3 linked regions of the Coturnix japonica genome follow. The protein of the gene in region 1 interacts with the protein of each later gene in a pairwise test. Links are inferred from orthologs where the notes say so. Each region holds a gene or a part of one and is shown on either strand. Other genes may lie near its edges.

Region 1 (7,133 bases):
TAAGTCTTCTTTCCAGGTTGTCACTAATATGCAGGAGAATTCAAAGTGGGGCAGGGGGGAAACACAACAACTGAGCTGTAATAAACCAAATTTCAAAAGAAAAAAAAAGATTAACCTTTTGAAGAGTTCTCCAGAAGACCCCACTTAACCACAACACAGAAACAAAGGCTACCTTGTCCTTCACAACGAAGCTGAGCTCTTTCTGAAGCTCCAACACCAGCTTCTCAGAGGCTGTCAGTTTCTCACCCATCTCCATGACTTTGTTTTGCAGCTGTGTGTTCTCCTGCAGTAAAAACAGAGAAGATTTTTTGCATTGGGGGTCTTCACACTGCAGGAAAGTTTATCAGTTATGGGCCTTCAGTGGGAAGCTGCAGAACTACTAGCACATCAGTATGCTGATCACAGCGCAGCTCACAGGAAACCCCACTTTGGCCAGGACAGTGCTGACATGCCACATGAGCTAGAGTTTGGCTCAACTCTCCAAACAACAGAAAGAGGCATAGGTTTTATAGAATAAGAGCTAGGCAGCACTGTAGGCATGTCTGTACCTCTGCTTCACAGAACTATCTTGTCTGTGCCAGCACACTGAGAAGACATCAACTCCTCTCTGAACAACCCAGTCTTTACCATCACTTTCTGTGATGATATAACTACATCAACTGATGTTGTCTGTCCAGACTTCTCTCCCAAATGGAAAGAAATGGATTTGATGAGTGGACCATTCAATGGACAGGGAACTGGTTACAAGATCATACTCAGAGAGTAGTGGTCAGTGGCTCAGTGTCTGAATGGAGATCAGCCTGAAGAAAAGAAGTCTCTGAGGAGACTCAGTAGAGGCCTTTCAGTATCTAAAGGGGGGCTACAAGAAAGAAGGGGTGAGACTCTTTAGTAGGGTCTGCTGTGATAGGACAGGGGGAAATGGCTTCAAACTAAAAGAGGGGAGATTTAGATTGGATAAAAGAAAAAGGGGTATTTTTTTTTCACAATGAGGATTGTGATGCACTGGCACAGGTTGCCCAGAGATATGGTAGATACCCCATCCTTGAAGACATTCAAAGTCAGGCAGAACTGGGCTCTGAGCCATCTGATCTAGCTGCAGATGTCTTTGTTCACTGAAGGTGGGTTGGATAAGATGACCCTTAAAGGTCCCATCCAACTCAAATGATTCTAAGATAATATCTCAGGCATGGGCACACCTTTGTCCCTACTATTTTATGTTCCTTCACACAATTTTAGCCTCAGCCATCAGATCAGGTGTCACTAAAAGTTGAATCTTTCTCAACAGACTACGTGAGGGTTCAATAATGTCCTGCCCAGCAAATCTCCTTATTTTAATTGTGCAGTATGGATGTGACTCACAACTTCTCCACAAAATCCTGCCCTTCCTAGCAAAAGCAAGGCAAACTATCTGGCATTGTCACCACTTCTGCTTTGATTCCTCTGAAGGAGTGAAGACATTTAATTCAGGGTAGTTCTACTTACCTTCATCATGAGGTTCAGTCTCCCATGAAGGGTGGCCTCTTTGCCCTGGAGGAACCGTGCATCAGCCTCCAGCTTCACTTGATGGCTGATGGCTTGCTGCAAAAGCAGCTCTTTCACCTCCATTTCAGTCTGAGCATCCCTGGAACAGACAAGCAACATGTCTGAGAGCAGTTGAAACACATTCTCAGATTACTGTGAGGTCCAGGCATCCATGCTCACCCCACAAAAAGCAGAAGAGCAGAACTTGTTTGGAGGGATACAGGAAGCGCAAGTGAAGTGCACACAAGGGATCTTCAGGGGCTTGTATGCCACTCACACAACGTCCAAATAAGTGAGATATTCAGAAAGGGGGACTGGGATAAGGAGGAAGAGACAGTGGGGACCCATTTTCCCTGTTCAACCAAAAGAACCCTTCCTACTTGAGCTTGCCCTGGCTATGGTTAAGGGCGATGTACTGCTCGTCCAACTCCCTCCTGAGCTGCAGGCAGCGTCTCTCTGCTTTCTCCAAGTCCAGTCTGGCCGTGTCCCTCTCTCTGGAGATTCGCCTCACCTGGCTTCTGCAGGCAGAGCAAGGGTGCGTTCAGCTCAGAGACACCTCCTGCAGCCCAATGGAGGCTCTGCCCCTCACGAGGAGCAGCACCCTTACTTGAGGCACTGCAGTTTGTACGTATAGGAGGTGATGTCTGCACGCTGCAGCCCACTCTGTGACACCATGGCTGTGCTGTCCAGGGCTGCAGGCAGCTCTGCCGGGCTCCTTCGGTCTCTGAAACAGAAGCACTGAGTGAAACCACTCTTCCTTTCTGTCAACACCTCTAATGTTACGCCACCTGACTGCTCTCAAGAGGCAGCTTCCCATCTCAACAAGAGCCTTAGTTACAGAATCACAGAATCACAGAATGACCCGGGTTGGAAGGGACCTCAAGGATCATGTAGTTCCAACCCCCCTGCCTGGCAGGGCCACCAAACATACACCTTTACTAGATCAGGTTGCCCAGGGCCCCGTCCAACCTGGCCTTGAACACCTCCAAGGACGGGGCATCCACAACCTCCCTGGGCAGCCTGTTCCAGGACCTAGTTAACACCCACCCCAGCCCTGTGGTGGCCAAAGCCCACCCTCCCATTGCAACCTGCCCACGATCAGTTCTCCCACCCCTCACACACACACCAGCCCCAAGCCCTGACCCCAGCTCCAAGCCCCGCTCGCTCCCGTCCCCGCCCCTTCCTCTCTCCCACCTCTTCCGCCGGATCCCGCTCATGCGCAGCGCCCTGTGTGCGGCGGCGCCGCCATTGTAGTAGCTCGCGGTTAGGGCGACCAGGCCTGACTGAGCCATGTCGGGGTCCGCGGGCTCCGGCGGCACCACCGGCTCGGCGAGGAAACGGATCATGAAGGAGGAAGACATGACCAAGGTGGAGTTCGAGACGAGCGAGGAGGTGGACGTGACGCCCACGTTCGACACGATGGGGCTGAGGGAGGACCTGCTGCGCGGCATCTACGCCTACGGTGCGCGGCGGGAAGGCCGAGGCGGTGTGGGGGAAGGGGGGGAGGAAAATGGCGGCGTTGCGCTGTAACAGCCATGTCCTGCAGGGTTCGAGAAGCCGTCGGCCATCCAGCAGAGAGCCATCAAGCAGATCATCAAGGGACGAGACGTGATCGCGCAGTACGTGGGCCGGGGGGGAGGGATGCGGGGGAGGGGTGGGTGCTACCTCCGGAACGGCAGAGAGTTCACTACACCTCTGTTCTCAGGTCACAGTCGGGAACAGGGAAAACGGCCACGTTCTCCATCTGTGTGCTGCAGTGCCTGGACATACAGGTAGGCCATACTTGGAACATGGCGGTTGTCTTTATGTGAGGGTGGTGAAACACCGGCACAGGTTGCCCAGAGGCTGTGGATGCCCCTCCCTGGAGTCATTCAAGGCCAGGCTGGATGGGGCTGTGAGCAGCCTGGTCTGGAGGGAGGTGTCCTGCCTATAGCAGGGGTTGGAATGAGGTGGTCTTAAAGGTCCCGTCCAGCAGGTCAAAGGAGGTGATCCTTCCCCTCTACTCTGCCCTGGTGAGGCCTCATCTGGAATATTGTGTCCAGTTCTGGGCTCCCCAGTACAAAAAAGACAGGGATCTCTTGGAAAGAGTCCAACGGAGGGCCACAAAGATGGTGAAGGGCCTGGAGCATCTCCCCTGTGAGGAGAGACTTAGGGAACTGGGTCTGTTTAGCCTTGAGAAAAGAAGGCTGAGAGGGGACTTGATCCAGGTTTATAAATACCTGAGGTGTGGGAGCCATAGTGGTGAGGCTGGTCTCTTTTCAGTAGTGCATGGGGATAAGACTAGGGGTAATGGGATGAAAGTACAGCATAGGAAGTTCCGCACGAATGTGTGGAAGAACTTCTTTACAGTGAGGGTGACGGAGCACTGGAACAGGCTGCCAAGGGGGGTGGTGGAGTCTCCTTCTCTGGAGATATTTAAGACCCACCTGGACACCAACCTCTGTGATGTGGTGTAGGGAGCCTGCTTTGGCAGGGAGGTTGGACTTGATGATCTCTAGAGGTCCCTTCCAACCCCTACAATTCTGTGATTCTATGTTTGCTTTCATTGGAGGGCTGAATCTATTTCTCTGGCATGCATTGTGTGGTCAGGCACAGTCTTATAACATAATGTAAGGGGCTATAAATGTGTAAGCACTCCATGCGGGAGCAGCTTTCTGGGTGTGCCGATGCAAAATTGTACCATTGATCATTCAGATGTGACAATTCAGGGTACTGTGGGCTCTATTCTGTTTGTTTCTGCTTGCACTGTACTTGCTATGTGATGAACTGCCGTGTGATCAACAGGTTCGCGAGACCCAGGCACTGATCTTAGCACCAACTCGAGAGCTGGCTGTGCAGATTCAGAAGGTAGGAACATGTGAATTACTGCCTGTACGGTACTTATAAAGACTGATGCAGATTCTCCAAGTGTTCCCCAGCAGAGCTAGAAGTGCAACTTTTGCTTTTCAAAGGAATGCGTTGTCCTGAATGGAATAAGAAATCCCAATGAAGGGCTGTTTCTCCCTTCTGTGTTATATCCATTGGTCCTTACAGGATGGGTTAGTTAGCAGTCTTAATGTTTTACGTATTCCTACCTGGATTTCTAAGTACAGTACTCTTTAAAAGTAGTTGTGATTCCTGGGATATAAACCAAATCCCCAGCCTTTGAAAGCCTGCCATAAGAGCTCAGTTGATTCATTATTTATGTCCAAATAGGGTCTTCTTGCTCTGGGAGACTACATGAATGTCCAGTGTCACGCCTGCATCGGGGGGACCAACGTGGGTGAAGATATCCGAAAGCTGGATTATGGGCAGCACGTTGTTGCTGGCACTCCAGGCCGGGTGTTTGGTAAGAGCTGGGAGACTGTGTGCTTCCATGTTCACACTTCAGTTGAGCCATGGGACCATCCTGCAAATTTAATGCATTTAGATTTGGAATAGCATGGAAACTGCATTTATTGTGATACCATCAGTGTATGCAGTGATGAAGAGCAACAAAGGGTAAATTCACTGTAGTAGTAGCTGGAAGAGATGAGAAAGCAAACATTGGGGAAAGAATTAGGATTATCTGTTTATCCCTTGCTTTTATTAACAAAGTGGTTGTTTACATCGTGCCATAGAAAACAATATTATTAATGGTGATAATATTGCAATCCTGGGCTTATCTCAGTGTTGTGGAAGAGATAGGAGCTGGGTCTGTTTGAGTCTCAAAACAAGAAACAGAATGCCCATGTAAAATGTCTGTCTTCTTCCTGCTTATAAGCTCCCTTCCACTACTGGAAGGCTGCAGTGAGGTCTCCCTGGAGCCTTCTCTTCTGTGTCCACTTCCCCTGGTTGCAGGGTGTATTGGGGAGCACTGTGGCACTTGGCTCTGCTTTTCCATCACCAAACACCAGTCTCTGTTGGCAACAGGGGAAGTGCCAGTCCCTCCTCCAGTGAAATGCACTGACAGCGGCTGGGAGCAGTGTAGGCTCACTTGCTTTCTGAGCCTTTTCATCTTACAAAGTGAAATCTTACAGATATGATCCGGCGACGAAGTTTAAGGACTCGTGCTATCAAAATGCTGGTTCTGGATGAAGCCGATGAAATGCTCAACAAAGGTGAAATTTTGATCTCCCTCGTACTTTTCTCTACTCACCTCTTTGAGGTTCTGATATTGTCTCAGTCAGTCAGTAGTCCTGGTTCTAAAACCAACTGGTTTTACCAAAGCCAGGGAATCACAGTTCTATTGTGTGCTGTAGGAAACAACTTAATATGCTTTGCTTAACTTGGTTATTGTGTCCTTTTCAGTAGTTACAAATTGTGGAGTGCTGGTTTTTGTATTGTACTGTGCAGCACAGCCATGTCACGCTGGGTCTGGGAGAACTGGGCAGAGATGAGCAATGGGTGATGCTGGCTGTACGATAAAAACACTTGGTGTTCTTACAGTGTAGGCCCGCTGCTGAATTCCAGTTTAAGCTGAAAGAAAAGGATATTCAGGAGAAAGCTGTGCCGACTTCCCAGTGCTAATTGATTTCCTTTTGCAGGTTTCAAGGAGCAGATTTATGATGTGTACAGATATTTACCTCCAGCCACGCAGGTGGTGCTGATCAGTGCCACTTTGCCTCATGAAATTCTGGAGATGACCAACAAATTCATGACAGACCCCATTCGCATCTTGGTGAAACGGTGAGTGAGTTTTCTTGGGAAGAGCAGTTCTTGTCTTACTCGTGTTCCTTCTCAGCACTGCAGTTCAAGTAGGTATTTACAGACATCTTCATGTTGCACTTTGCAGCAGGGGCAGCCTTGTCTCTCTGACTTTATCCTTGTCCATTTCTGTTTGCTGCTGCTCAGTCTGACTTCCCTCACCCTCCCAAGTACTGTAGTCTCTTCTGGAAGCCTGTCTTTCGTTCCTACTCAATTCCTGTGCTCCTCCATTAGACTTTTGTAGGTGTCTTCTATTGATATTATGGAGTATGGCTAGAAAGCTTAAAGCTGATTGGCCCTGAAGGCCCTAGGTGCACAGCTTATGTCTGGCACTGCAGCAAGTCCTTATGTGCTCAAGCTCAGCAGATGTCAGGAGGAATAAATGTAGGCAGCCTGATTGGAAAGGCCTCACCTTTGCCCAGTCTCTCACATTGCCCCAGTTAGCTCACTTCAGTCACTTTCTGCCCGGATGTTTGCATGAAAAAGCAAGAACAGAAATGTTTCCCTTTGAAGTTGTCTGCTTAGCGCAGAGAGGCTACTAAGTTCAAGCCTCTGTTGTGTGGGTCATGTTTGAAGCCTTTCTTAGAGCAGTTTTCTCCAGGGACTTCATAGAGGAACTTGAGTGTAGACCCAGCAATTCCTAGGGCGCTTGGGACAGCCACGTGAGCATCCAGCCCTCTTAGCTGCACTGTATGCACTCACCCACTTGCAGTGTCTTAAAGCTGTTCTTCTTTCCTAAAGTGATGAATTGACCCTCGAAGGAATCAAGCAGTTTTTTGTGGCTGTGGAGAGGGAAGAATGGAAGTTCGACACCTTGTGCGACCTGTATGACACGCTCACTATCACCCAGGCTGTCATCTTCTGTAACACCAAGAGAAAGGTACAGCAGCCACCAGATGGGCACGTTATCTCACTTGCAGAGGGAGACACAGGGGAAAATGCTGGGC
Region 2 (6,343 bases), on another chromosome or scaffold:
TAGTGAGAATGGAGAGACGCAGAAGGCTGGGCTGGTCGTACCAACAAGCCCAAAGGGGAAAGTCCTGGACAGGCGCTCCCGATCTGGGAAAGGAAGAGGTCTGCCAAAGAAAGGTTGGTGTAGTTTGGTGGTGAGAGCATTGTAATAAAGATTCTGTCCAGAATGTAATGGTGGTGTTTTTATTGAGAACTGTATTTGCAACCCACAGTGTTTGTACAGGCATTTGGTTCTTTGTTACGTAGTGACAATAGGAGCTAATAGGAATCTTACCAGGGGAAAATTGTGTGTATTGTTAAGTAACTTCAGACTTTTAAGTGTCTTTTATTAGTAAATTGAATACATGGGCCTGAACTGTTGTGGTCATGTGGTTCACAGAACTGTTACTAACATAAACCGAAGGCTTGACTATATTTAAAAGTGCAGTAACTGTATTAAAAAGTTCAGTAATTCTTGTGCACTTCTGTGCACGCCGCTTCTAATATCATAGTAGAAAGTGATGAAGAGACTAGCTGCTGAACGTGTCATACAGATTCTCTTGCCATTTTCTGCATATGTTGCTGGAGTCAGTGGCCACAGGCACAGCTGTGTGTGAATGAGTGTTGGGTTGACTTCAAGTCTTGTTTGTGAACTGTCTGTCCTTTCTTAGTTGCTCACTGTTCTCTATTTTGCCAGGTGGAGCAGGTGGTAAAGGAGTCTGGGGAACACCAGGTCAAGTGTATGATGTGGAAGAAGTAGATATTAAGGATCCTAATTATGATGATGACCAGGTAGGCCAACAGACTTCTTTGCTCAGTGCTTGTTTTGATTTTATATTAATTAAAATTACTGTGATGCTCATATTAATAAATGTTTCACCTCACAGGTTAAATGGGTGTTTGACCGGCTCTATTAAGTACTTGTTTTTTTTTGTTTAAGAATGGATTACTGTCTTAAAGATGACTGGTGTAGAAGTGCTGCAGTAGATAGCATTCATAGGTCTTACACCCAAGCCCTCCTTCTGTACTTGACTAGTGTCATGGTTTTGTATAGACTAGACACTAGACAGTGTGTTTTTCCCAGGCGTGTTCTTTCCTTGCTGGTTCTCATGGAGCTGAGTGTTGCAGTGCTGCTCTGAGTTGCAAGCAGGCACCATGTTAAAGTGCAGCACAGATTGCAGCTGGGAGTTTATCTGTTACCTTTTAAGGATTTCTCTCTTCTTTGTATCCCTAACACTGTGGATATAATATCATCTTGGTACAAACAGTTAAAGGTACCATGAAGCTGAGGACCTGGATTTTCTGTTTATTTACATGTATTTAGGATATGTTATGGAAGATTCTACCTTACAGCTATATTATCAACAACAACAAAAAGAAAGCAGCGTTTCCTAAATAAATTTGTCAGATTAAAACCCTGAGATTACAGACATGGATTACTGATGTCTCTGCAACAGATGCATTTGTGAGACCATAAATAAAGTTTGTGTAACAACAGCAGAGTGATGGTGGTGTCTTTTGAGCTGCAGCTTTTATTTGTAGCCATAGCTGCTGACATGATGCTCTGTGGGTATGTCAGAATCTTCTTTCAGAATCACTTCTTCCACCAGTTCATCACAGATTAGCAGAGGTAGCTATTGAAAATGAAGTTGGTGATTGCATAAAATAAGTTTGTATGAAAACTGAGAATTGCATTAAACTCCTGCCTGCTTAGCTTTTCTAAGATTGTAAATGAAGCGATATGATAGAAGAGTAGGCCTTTGAGCTTCTGCTGTAATTCTTGATCCTAGAATATTTCTTTTCTGTAAGTATTTGCTGGAAATTTCTTTGAGACTGCAGCAATCTCTAATATTACTCCAAACGTTCTGTAGTCTATGAGGAAATAAATCATAGTGGGGAGTCCTGGCCATGCTAGAACTCTTCAGGACCAGTTGTTGTGTAATGTTTTCCTGTTAGGGAATAATTTGGCTTAAGGGTGTTCTGGAAGTGCTTTGCTGTGTCTGGCAGATCTATGCATGCTGTCACTTGTCTGATCATGAAGGTCCTCCAGGGAAGAGGGAAAACAAGCAGGCGTGCTGGTAGGGACAGGAACATTGGTTGTAGGGAGGGTTGCTAAAAGTTATATCTTGTGGAACTGATGACTCTGCTGGGCTGGGATAGGAGTTTCTATCACCCTCCCTTGAGTACCAGGGTACTTGATTCTGTGTTCACATGGTGTCAGAAGAATGCTAGGAGTATTTACTGTCATTTAGCAGTAAGCTCAATTAACACTAAACTCAAAATACAAGAAGTATGACATATAGCTGGCCTTGTGCACACTTCAACCATAGAGACATAATCTGACATTTTCTGGTGGAATACTGACTATGAGGACTAAAGCATTAGAGATGTAGATTGTTTTGACTCTGTTTGCACTTGTTTACAAAAGTCTTTATGTTTTTGTTTCCTTTTGAAATAGGAGAATTGTGTCTATGAAACAGTAGTTTTACCTCTGGATGAAAGAGCATTTGAAAAAACTTTAACACCGATCATACAGGAATATTTTGAACATGGAGATACTAACGAGGTTTCGGTATGTCATGTGCCTTTACACTTAATTTAGGGGGCAAGCTTATAGTGTACAAGTGAGTCCCAGGTGCTTGTAAATGAGTGTGTGCCAGAAATGTGCATAGGAATACCAAAGCAGTTATATTCATTACATGGGTAGAAGCATGTATTGTGTAAATATTTGTTAATAACTTACATTTCTATAGTATTAAAATGGTGAGATCTTAATCTGTTTTGTTTTACAAATTTTATTTTAGGAGATGCTGAAAGATTTAAACCTCGGTGAAATGAAATACAGTGTGCCAGTGCTGGCTGTTTCCTTGGCGTTAGAGGGGAAGGCTAGTCACAGGGAGATGACATCTAAGCTTATCTCTGACCTTTGTGGGACAGTAGTAAGCAAAACTGATGTGGAAAAATCATTTGACAGACTGCTTAAAGATCTACCTGAATTGGTGTTGGATTCTCCCAGGGCACCACAGGTAGGTTGGCAGATTTTTATGTTGGTTGTCAAAAGTTTTTCCTTTTAAATTGTGCCTAAAATTAATCACGCAAAATGAAGTAAGACTGTATATGGAAAAACAGCTATGGAGAATCTTCCTGTTTGTAGTCCCTGTATCCAGTTTCCCAGGCTGTGCTTTTACTTTGAGATAAAAATATATAAAATCAGAAAACCAAGCATATTGTATTTGTCTGCTTAAAACTGTTTTCAGATTCAACTTCTACTTAAAAGTGCTTCTGTTTTGTTTTAGTTGGTGGGCCAGTTTATTGCTAGGGCTGTTGGAGATGGGATTTTGAGCAATACTTACATAGATGGCTACAAAGGCACTGTGGATTGCATCCAAGCTCGGTAAGTTTCTTGCTGTCCACAGCTATGGTTTTCTATTTCAAATGCCTAAGAAAATCAGGAATTTGGGACTTGGGGTACAAATCATTTGGTTCTCTGAGTTCAATTCTGAGTTAAGAGATCAGAAATGCACAGTCTGCAATAACAACAAAACCCAGATTTACTCAGGTCAGCTAAGAAACACTTGAAGCGCCTTAAAAACATATTGATACCTTTTAGGTCAGTTTGTTGGGTTTGTTGTCCCACTTAATTTTGAATGGGGAGCCTGAGCTGAAACAAGAAGTGCTTATAAAAGGTTTTGTCTTTAGAAAAGGCTTTAATGGGACTAATGAGTAACAGCGTCAGGGCAGCTGTTGTGAAATACACAAGGGATTAAGTGCTTAGCTTCATAAAGGTTTCAGGTTTGTGCAGTGTGTTATCCTAGACTGTGGCACTTTATTCATCAATACACGTTTTCAGTTTCGGGGTTAGATGTTTGAAGGAAGGTCTGAGAGAAGAGAAATTGTAATAACCAGTCAGGGGCTTTTATTGTTTGTTCTCCCATAAGTGTTTCAGACTTCAATAATGAGGTGCTGAACTCTTATTAAAAAAGCTCTGTTGTTACAATTAAAGCTGAATGCTTCTAGGAAGAAGGGCAGTGCTCAGCTGCCTCACTTGGGGGTTCACACTGAGAAAGCTGTTAGTCTGTTATTCCAGTTTCTCCTGTGGTATGGAGGATCTTAGCCTGCGTGTTGCACATCTGGGATGTTTTGCTGCCACTGCAGTTTCACTGCAAAACAAATGGCCAGTCTTTGCTGCTTGTTAAATCTCAGTGAATAGTTTTTTCACTAACATTAATATGAGGATTGGGAGATAACCGGTCCTTCTTGCTGGATAGTGCCTAACTGGATCTGACATTTCTTCTTTTTCTCACCTACTCTAGTTTTCTCATCTCTTTGCAGTTACGTATTTGCCTTCTGAAGTGCTGTTTTGCCTTGAACTCTAAAGGCTCACAGTTCTTTAGATAGCAAATTTATTTCAGTACAAAAGCCACTCTTGAGCATGGAAGCAACTCACACCTCTTGTTTTGAGATGTACCTCCAAGCTGAATTCTTGGAGCAGACTGGATGCAATTCATCTCTGGCAAAGAAACTGTTCTTTCCTTTGAATTGATGATTCCGACCTACTGCCATTGCAGGATCATTCCCTGTCCTTAGTGCAGTATAACCAAGAGCGTGAGGGTGGTGTGACCTCTTCCCAATCAGGATCACTTTGACTGAAGAAAAGTGATAGATATGGTGGGGTTGTTGTGGATGTTCCAGGTGTCTTCTAATGAAGTTTCCTAACTTCCTAAAACACTGTTTTTACTTTCTAGAGCTGCGCTGGACCGAGCTACCGTGTTGCTGAGCGTGACAAAGGGTGGGAAGCGCATAGACAATGTGTGGGGCTCGGGAGGTGGCCAGCAGTCTGTGAAACACCTTGTTAAAGAGGTAGCTGACTTCTACAAGTCTCTTCTCTGCAGAGTATGCTCCTCGTTTAAGCTTATCTTGGTTGGGACGGAGCAAAGAAACGCACATATCCACATATCCTGCAGCTAAATGATGTCTGGTGTTGCTTTTTTTTTTTTTAATATTCATATTTCAGTTTACTTTATACGAAGTAGGTTATGAAAATTGATGTGGATCATTTTGTGGATGGAGGTGGATATCCCTAGTGATCAGTGGAGGGAACATACTGGCTCATATGCTGCACTGCAAGTGTACACCTGTTCTTGCTTTAAGCTAAACTTCAAGCATTTAACTTGTAGAGAGTTTATAGTACAAAATGGTGAAGTAATATTAGAGATGAAATGAAATTAGTCTTAGTCACTGATGCCAGAAAATAAAGCACAGCAGTAACTTGAAAATAAAAGTCAGGAAGTTCTGAGAAAACTTAGGAGATCTGTGCTACGAAGTAGGCAGAAGGTTTAAAATAAATAGTCACATTATATTCTCTTGAGCTGTGAGTGTAGCAGATGATAAAGAGTTCAGGCAAGAAGATAAACTTGCAGTCATCACTTGAAGCAAAGTTTTAGTGGTAGCACATCTGTGTTACGTTACAGAAAGACGTATCTGGCTTACAGTATGTTTGAGGGTCCTGCCCATATCTCAATTTAATTCCATTTACTAGAACTCTAGCTGTAGGTTTGAGGAACTAGCTTGATACTAGATTGATCACCAATCAGCAGAACAGTTGGCAGCTTTTAAATCTTGTATCTAACTAGTGATGGGTTTTGTTTGTTTTAAAATGCAATAGATTGATATGCTGCTGAAAGAATATTTGCTTTCTGGAGACCTGCTGGAAGCTGAACGTTGCCTTCAGGATCTGGAAGTACCCCATTTTCACCATGAACTTGTATATGAAGTAAGGAGAAATGAGTCCCTTTAATGACTGCCGGGTGTTGTTTTGATGTGGGTATGCATTTAGCTGGAACTTGAAGCTCAGTTTCAAGTTTTGATGTTATTTAAGTAACTGAATTACTTCATGTAAAGTTAATGGTTTATGTGCTCACTGTGTGTATGTTGTGTAATAAATAAGCTGCTGGTCCTTCTGGGAAGATCCAGAATTTTATTTTGTTTGCTGGGTAATTAGCTGTGTTCAGACTATTACTGATACCTGAAAAATAAGAGCTTAGCTTATTTTCTGCTGAGGAATACCAGCAAAAGCCCTAGGTTGTATTGGAGTTTATTTCCTTTTAATTACGTGTTACAACAGTTTTCAGACATCTGGGCATTCTAATGGGTGTTGCCTGTTTTTGTTAAGATATAGTTTCCTTTGCAGGCTGGAATTGTTCCATGTAGTATCTCTGTAGAAGGCTGAGATAACTCAGAACCAGACTATACAAGAAAGATCTTTGCTGTATCTAGTAGGCAGTTTTGGTTTGCACTTGAAATGGTTGGATACAAAATTAATTGCCATCTGTGCTGCAGCAACCATGCAGATCCAGTTATGTATCCCT
Region 3 (7,090 bases), on another chromosome or scaffold:
AAATGAGTGCCTTATAAAATGCTGGTTTCCTAGAATAAGAGGCTACTTTAGACACAATTTCAATTTCTCATTATACAGCCAGAATAGTGCTCTATACCTATTTTGTAGCTTGCAAGAAAAACAAGCCAGAACAAAAGCAGGCTGGTACTGCAGCTCGTGACACAAGAAGCAAAGAGCAGTAGAGCTCTGTGTGTACCAGGGAGATGTTACAAGCACTATTATTGTGCACCATTTCTGCCTTTGATTTTCTGCCCAGGATCACACAAAAACTTCGAGCACTTAATCAAAGAATTAAAATCCTCGTTTTAACGCACATACAACTAACCCACAGTGCCCATCTAGACTTAATGATCAGCAAAGTTTTGGGTTTGTTTCATGGTTTCCTCCACCTGTTCCTTTTTGCTGCACCAACTCAGCACTTCCATAATACAGTGCTCAAATACAGAAACTTAGGTTACTTTTCAGATTTCTTTAGACAGAACTCAGTAAAAAAGAGATATGCTGGGACTTGATCTTGGGAAGAGATGTCCACATTACAAAAATTAAGTTGCAAACAGCTTTGCTTTTGCCACAGTTATTTGTGGTCTCACACAATGGCTCTTTGACAAAGCGCATGGTTGGTTGGAGAATTAAACTATGGAAAGCAAGAAGTTCCTTCCCTATTAAAAAGGTGTTTGTTGATACAGTCCAAATTCCTTCATAGGACAACTTCTGAGATGAAAACTTTGGGAGAAAGAAAAGACAAGAGAAATTTCTCCACCACAGAGAAGCACAGTTATGTTCCTTGTGTCAAGTGGTTACGAAAATGCATGAAGACACAGTGTCCTAGCACCAGTGTCTCGCAAATATCCAGCCGTTATTGGCCCGCAGTTTTATTTCATCTTAAAGCCAAGATGTGGAAAGTAAGTCAGGTTTCATCCTGCCCCAGGGCTTTGATGTTCTTACTTTCTATGATAAGCAAATCTGTCTCAGAGCAGCAAATCTCCCCGACATCAACATAATTTACTTTTGGATTATGGAAACCAGTCACGGACTCAGATGTGAATGATCCAAATAGTTTATTACAGGTTCTCATGTCACTTTATATATTCACAAGTTCCCTTTTTTGTAAAGGCAGATGGGAAAGCCAGCTTTCCCATTAACAAAGTATCCACAAACACTTCCTAAGCATGCATGCAGGTGCTTATCCAATCAGAGCCATGAGCCGTTCCTTTTGCTTTTCTCTTCTAGAGATGTCCTTGGTTCTCAGCCTTGCTTTCTCATGCTGTTTATCTTGCTCCACAGCTTCTGCTCTGAATAGTCTTTCTTGTATTCCCACACTGGATTCCTATTTAAATCCTTTCTTTATTTTTCCTGTATGGAGGAGACACAGGGAAAGCCCAGAACCAGAGCTTTCAAGTGATTCGTTTTGAGTTTGTGCAACATCTCTCACCAATCTTGCAAGCTGCTGAGATGCCACTGTTTCATACAAAACCCCCTTCATACGAACTGCTGTGATCCCCCATCTTTCTCAACAACAATAAACAAGCTTTTTGTGGTGATGCAGCTTTGTGGAAGTAAACACAATTAAACCTTGTGCTAAAATGAGCAGCATACTAATAAGCGCTGAATCAATTATTCCATAGGAATTCAAGGCTATCAGCAGTCTTAGATCAGGCACGGTAGCTTATAAAGTGTTCACTGATTCCCTGTAAGAAACAAGCAACTGAATCTGTATGATACACACAGTTACCCTGCTTCCTCACCTCCTTTCTTTAGGTTAAGCTGGATTTGCTTCCCACCTTGCAAATGTTCTTATTCCTGCTCCCCCTCTTTCATTTGCATTTTATTAATGCCTGTTGGCTGGATTAAAAAATCCCCAGATCAGCCTTCTACAAATCAGGGCCGACACAGAGCCTTTCTGAGAGCTATAGATACAAAAACTTGTCAGCTCTCAGAAAACACAGAACTACTGAACCAACACTTAGAAAATACTCTGGAAGCCACCTGTCTGGATGCACACTGAGTGCCAAGTCCCACACATAGGCAAGCACAGCAGCACAAAGTGGCTCCACATTTCTAGCAGGCAGGTAGGAGAGCCATGCTGCATGTGCCTCTGTTCCAGCGTACTGGTCTTGCTAGTGTTAACTGACAAAGAATGGAAGGTACAGCTCCTCGTAGCTTGAGCTCATTCTTTGTAGCCCATCACCAACACTGACTGACTCATTCTGAGTCAAGCATGTCCAGGTAGAGCTTTACTACCCACAGAATCACCAGTTCCATGTGTTTCATTCTGCAACAACATGTGCTGGCCTGCAACTGCTAAGAGTAATTCTTTTTTCACACCCAGCCATACAACCACTCAGTAGCACAGCTTTCCCTTGCAATTTTGGCCATGCCACTGAACCAGGAAGGATGCATTTTAGACAGTTGCAGTCGCCTTCAGAGCTTTGTGATTTTTATACGTTTGCTAAAACCACCTGCATAATACCTGCAACATAGAGAGCTGCTGAACACAACGAGGCACTGAAGTACCTACACAGCTATCCAATATTACACTTCTAAAGCTGTTCACATAAGATTCCCATCCCGGAGCCACAGACACTAAGCTTAAGGAGCAGCCACAGTGCCCTACAAGTCAGGTTGTCAAGATTCTCAAAACGTTTTTACATGTGCAGATACAAGGCGAGATCCAGGTCCAAGTCTGACTATCAGGAACACTTCACATTATGAGACTCTCATGATAAAGAAGCTCTTGAGCTCCTGAAAGTACTCAACACCTACAGCACTGGCAGTCCAGCAAGTCCTATCACTATAATGCAGAGCACGAGCAACATCCACCCCCTCCCTCCCCAGCAAAGCAATAGGGGAGGACCCAAAGCTCACACAGCACTGCCGTAATAGCGCCGCGCTTTACGATATCGCCGTAAAGAAAAGGAGGAAGCAGCCGGTGGTGTGTTGCTGGGTGAGCTCAGGCCGCCATGGACCGGAGGAAGAAGCCGCTGGATGTGGCTGCCTCCTCGGTAAGCGAACAGAGAAGGGGAGAGGTAGTATCTGCAGCAGGGGCTGCCGCTTGGCTTATAAGTAGGGCTGCCGTGGTGCGAGGCCTGGTCGGTTGCCTGCTGCTGTAGGGCTCTGTCGTAGGAAGCAGCTTTGCTTCCCATATGTGCTGGAAGCTTAGAGTGACCTCCTCGATTAGATTGCTGCTTTTAAGGGCTATATAGAACTGCAATTCAATGCTCGCATAGCTGTTAATAGCTGTGTTGCTTTGCTCTGTAGAGGTATAATTGTTTCCTGTAGCTGATGGTTGGCAATGTGTTTGTTCCTATTGCCGGTGATGTAGTTGGTAGATCTCAAAGCTGAGCTCTTCCGCAAGCAAGAAGAATTCAAGAAGGAAAAGCTACTGAAAGATGCCGGCATCTTCGCAAAGCCTAAACCCACTAATAAGGTAAAAACAATCTTCTGTTTTTTGTCATCCATTCCCCTTAAACTATGGCAGTTTGTACACGTTTAAATCTCAGGAAATAAGGATTCTGAGCTGTATTGCCATGTGAATTTCCACCATGAGGATGTTTCCAGATGTGGGTTTTGTGCAGCCTGTTCCTGTCAGAGTAGTCTCTGAAGTTTCATTTCCTGGGGAGCCAAAGCTTTTCTATCTACAAAGAAAAATGCTTATTTCTCACTTTCTCACTTATTTGCTTCCCCAAAGGAGGGAAGATGGCAAACTCATCCAGAACTGCTGAGCTTAATAAATGCTGTATTGTGTGCTCCTCTCTATCACAATGCATCACAGTGAACAGACAATTCTCACTCATTTTTACTCCTTTCCATATGTTTTCTATTTGTTCTGTAGCTTTCTAGTACTGGAGTTACCACACTTGAAGGTTGTTTGGCACTGAAATCTGTATTTTTAATCTAAAATGAAGTAGGAGAGAATGCAAGCAGTTCATAGCTTTGTTATTACTTCAGTTATTCATCATTTTTTTCCCATGAAAACTTTGCCAGAATAGATTTTGGCTGATATGTGTTTCCTTTTTCCTCTCAGCCTGACCTTCATTATCACATTGTACAGCAATCTGGCCTTTTAGGATGTACTTGCTGTGTTCCACAGCAGGTAGAGTCTCAAGTCAAATGTGTTTAAGAGCTTATTTAGAAGTCTTACTCTATTGAGTAATGCTGATTGTTTCATGGTTTCCCACAGAAACCAAGCATCTGGACCAAACAAAACACAGGAGTTGCAAAACGAGCTGAGAAAGATATTGAGCAGAAGGCAGAAGAGGATCAAACCTTAGATCAATCAAGGTAATTCTTAAGCTGTATAAGAAAGGAATGTTTTATACAACTTGTTTTTCAATACTTATAAAAGTACATAAAAAGTTACGTGCATTCTGGATGAGCAGTTCTTACCAGATCAACAGGTGAGACCAGCATCAGTCCCATGCTCTGTGGGAGTGATGTACAGGCTGTACCGAAGTGTTCTTATGCTCTGGAGACATCTGCCCTCATATCATCACAGCTATCTGAGTGTGTAAAGCTGCTGAGATTTGAGTGCCATCTTTGGAAGCAAAATCCAGGGCAGTGATGCATCAGAAGTCACGTCACAAACCACGTCTTGGACTTGACAGAAGATGGCTCACTGTTTTGTAAATCTGATTCGTCCCCTAAATGGCTTAGCTATTGTATGGGAAATTGGTTATCACAGCCTGAACCTCTGATTAATCGGCTGAGGCAAGTGTTGGGTCAGCTGTGGGAGCACAGGTGAGAGTAATTTAGCTGTGCTTCTGGAAGGGGTGGAGCTCGACTCCATCTCCTCTAGACCTCATTTAAGGGCTGACCACCACTAAGGCAGCATCTCTTGGAGACTGCTTCCTGGTGGAGACTGCATCAGCATTTCCCAGTGAAGACATCCATATTGTTGACTTTTTCCTCATAAATAGCCTTTTGCGTATCTGTCACTATCTTTGTTACCATCTTTGTATCATTCTACCATACAGATACTATCAGTTAAACTTTAATACAACAACAAAAACCCAACAGGTGTTACTCAGCTTCTAGTAGATATTTCAAGCATTCCTGGTATTACTTTTCTCATTACCTAAGTATAAATGGCTCATTATGAATGGTGTTTGGAATTGGTGAAATTAAAGGTTGGTTTGTTTGTTTCTCAGGAAGAAACTTGAAGAGAAAGCAAAGCTGTATGAGAAGATGACAAAAGGCGATTTCCCAGGTGAACAAAGCTAATCTAAAATAAGCGGTTATATGTGTGCATTTATATATAAGATAGATTTAAGTAGTTACTTGTTTTAATTTAAAATTGAATTATTTTTTACAGAGCTTACTATTAATTAGTGTAGCATATTTAAAAATAGAATCATGTACTTGTTTGCAAAATTCCCCCTAAAGATTGGCCTATCACTATCTAATGGCTTACAGCAGCTGCACTATGAATTCACTGCTTGCCTTCTTCCTTGAGGAATTATTTTGGGGGCTGTTATACAGTGATTAACATGGGTTATTCTGCTATTGGAGAGAGAAAATCATGTAAGTACTAGGAAATGTGAAATTACTTTTTGAAGGACAGTCTGTCCTCGTAAAGGACTATGAGCTTGTTGTATGCAGGCAGTCATTAAGTGGGTGGAATGTAATCTGCTTTTTCAATATAGAATATTAGAGGGGGGAAAAAAATGTATTCTCCATAGTGCAGTCTTTGCATTTCATTGCTGTTTTTTTGTCCTGCATTCTAATTCTTGGGCTTTATGAAGAAGAGCACTGCATCATGCAGATAACAGAGAATCCTAATCTGGCCCTTTCTTTTTTCACACATTCAGTCACTTGCAAGAAATAATTATTGACCAGAATTCAAATCTCCTTGCAGTATCTAATATTCCCTTTATTAGTGTCCAACTTGGTCACATGTGGGCTCACTGCTTTTCTCCACTTTTCAAAGAAGTACTTTAGTGACTGTTTTCTGCCACCATAGTAAGTGCTAAGCACCAAATAAGTGTTTGAACTGTTGTGTAACAACCCCCAGATCTTTGAAATAATTAATGAGCATAGAATATTGTAGTGTGGAGAGGGGTATCTTTTCTGTATTCTGTGCATAAATAATTGCTTTTAAAAAGCATAGAAGTTGTATTCACAAATATAGGTTATCACTGTGGAGCCAGCTTACCGCTCCAAGTTTTTTTGACCTGAAGTGAGATTTAGGTACTCCCTGGTGGTGTGGACAAGGGCATTGCTGGCAGCTGCAGAGGTGATTGTGCCTGTGATGTATCTATTGATTTTTGTGTTGAGTTCTGTTCCTTTTGCGGCTCTTCTCTACGAATTGATTTTCTGCCTTAGATGAAGAAACTGAAGACTTGTACCTAGTGGATTTCACTCAGAAGATCATAGACAAACAGCGAGAAGTACAGGAACTGCATCAGAACGAAACTGATAGAAAGACTTTAGAAAAGGAGACAGATGATGAGGAAATTGAGCCAGAAATGGAAATACCACCACCAGAAGACCCAGATGAAGAATGGTTGGTGCTGCTGAGTGGGCAATTGCATGAGAAAAGAATTCTGTTCCACATAACGCTTACAGTGACAGTTTTTTGTTGGGCTTTAGAGAAGAGGTGGTTCTTTCTGTTTCATGTCTTAATAAGAGACAGTACCTTGTGTTACTTCCCACATAGACAACAAGTGCAATAGAATCCACCCATTACTATGTTTTCAACTAAGATCTTAGCATTAATTACAAAACCAATCTGACTAAACCCTTTCTTTACCAACATGTGAAGAATGCTTATGGAACAAAGATTTTAATGGTGGTAATCAATCAAAAAGAGCACTTTGGCTCTCCAGCCTAATAGGCCACAATAGGATTTGCAGTATAATTTTCCAGAACAAAATAAACCAGGAGAGCACATCCAGGCAGGTACCAGAGAACTACTAGGTTGGAAGGGCAGATAACATGTAGTGCTATTAAGTGTCTTACTGAGATTTGAGATGAAACCATCAGTGATCCAATGAGGAGTCCAAACTGCTCTGTGCTCTTGTCACAGTAAGGTGTCACAAATTTAAACCAATACATTCTGCTGTTCACGTGGTACTTCTCTGTCATGGCATAC

What was found.
Region 2: the proteins of EIF4A3 (region 1) and PDCD4 interact in binary tests that used the Homo sapiens proteins (3 or more experiments, as listed by UniProt). The two-hybrid records come from large-scale screens. The link is inferred for Coturnix japonica from reciprocal best matches to the Homo sapiens genes EIF4A3 and PDCD4.
Region 3: the proteins of EIF4A3 (region 1) and CCDC174 interact in binary tests that used the Homo sapiens proteins (3 or more experiments, as listed by UniProt). The two-hybrid records come from large-scale screens. The link is inferred for Coturnix japonica from reciprocal best matches to the Homo sapiens genes EIF4A3 and CCDC174.

The regions. Positions count from the first base shown.
Region 1 is NC_029518.1:14,285,913-14,293,045, forward strand, and holds the start of EIF4A3 (eukaryotic initiation factor 4A-III), read left to right. Parts: upstream 1-2,728; 5' UTR 2,729-2,811; coding exon 2,812-2,983; intron 2,984-3,067; coding exon 3,068-3,140; intron 3,141-3,226; coding exon 3,227-3,293; intron 3,294-4,305; coding exon 4,306-4,368; intron 4,369-4,716; coding exon 4,717-4,849; intron 4,850-5,519; coding exon 5,520-5,600; intron 5,601-6,026; coding exon 6,027-6,168; intron 6,169-6,927; coding exon 6,928-7,066; intron 7,067-7,133. Other genes in the region: NINL (ninein-like protein), read right to left, coding at 173-283, 1,483-1,621, 1,902-2,039, 2,129-2,196. UniProt on the Homo sapiens protein: ATP-dependent RNA helicase. Involved in pre-mRNA splicing as component of the spliceosome. Core component of the splicing-dependent multiprotein exon junction complex (EJC) deposited at splice junctions on mRNAs.
Region 2 is NC_029521.1:23,089,631-23,095,973, forward strand, and holds part of PDCD4 (programmed cell death protein 4), read left to right. Parts: coding exon 1-113; intron 114-672; coding exon 673-767; intron 768-2,433; coding exon 2,434-2,547; intron 2,548-2,779; coding exon 2,780-3,001; intron 3,002-3,271; coding exon 3,272-3,369; intron 3,370-4,720; coding exon 4,721-4,835; intron 4,836-5,640; coding exon 5,641-5,748; intron 5,749-6,343. UniProt on the Homo sapiens protein: Inhibits translation initiation and cap-dependent translation. May excert its function by hindering the interaction between EIF4A1 and EIF4G. Inhibits the helicase activity of EIF4A. Modulates the activation of JUN kinase.
Region 3 is NC_029527.1:8,784,810-8,791,899, forward strand, and holds the start of CCDC174 (coiled-coil domain-containing protein 174), read left to right. Parts: upstream 1-2,871; 5' UTR 2,872-2,960; coding exon 2,961-3,002; intron 3,003-3,322; coding exon 3,323-3,427; intron 3,428-4,180; coding exon 4,181-4,281; intron 4,282-4,875; exon of another isoform or gene 4,876-4,894; intron 4,895-5,147; coding exon 5,148-5,206; intron 5,207-6,321; coding exon 6,322-6,502; intron 6,503-7,090. UniProt on the Homo sapiens protein: Probably involved in neuronal development.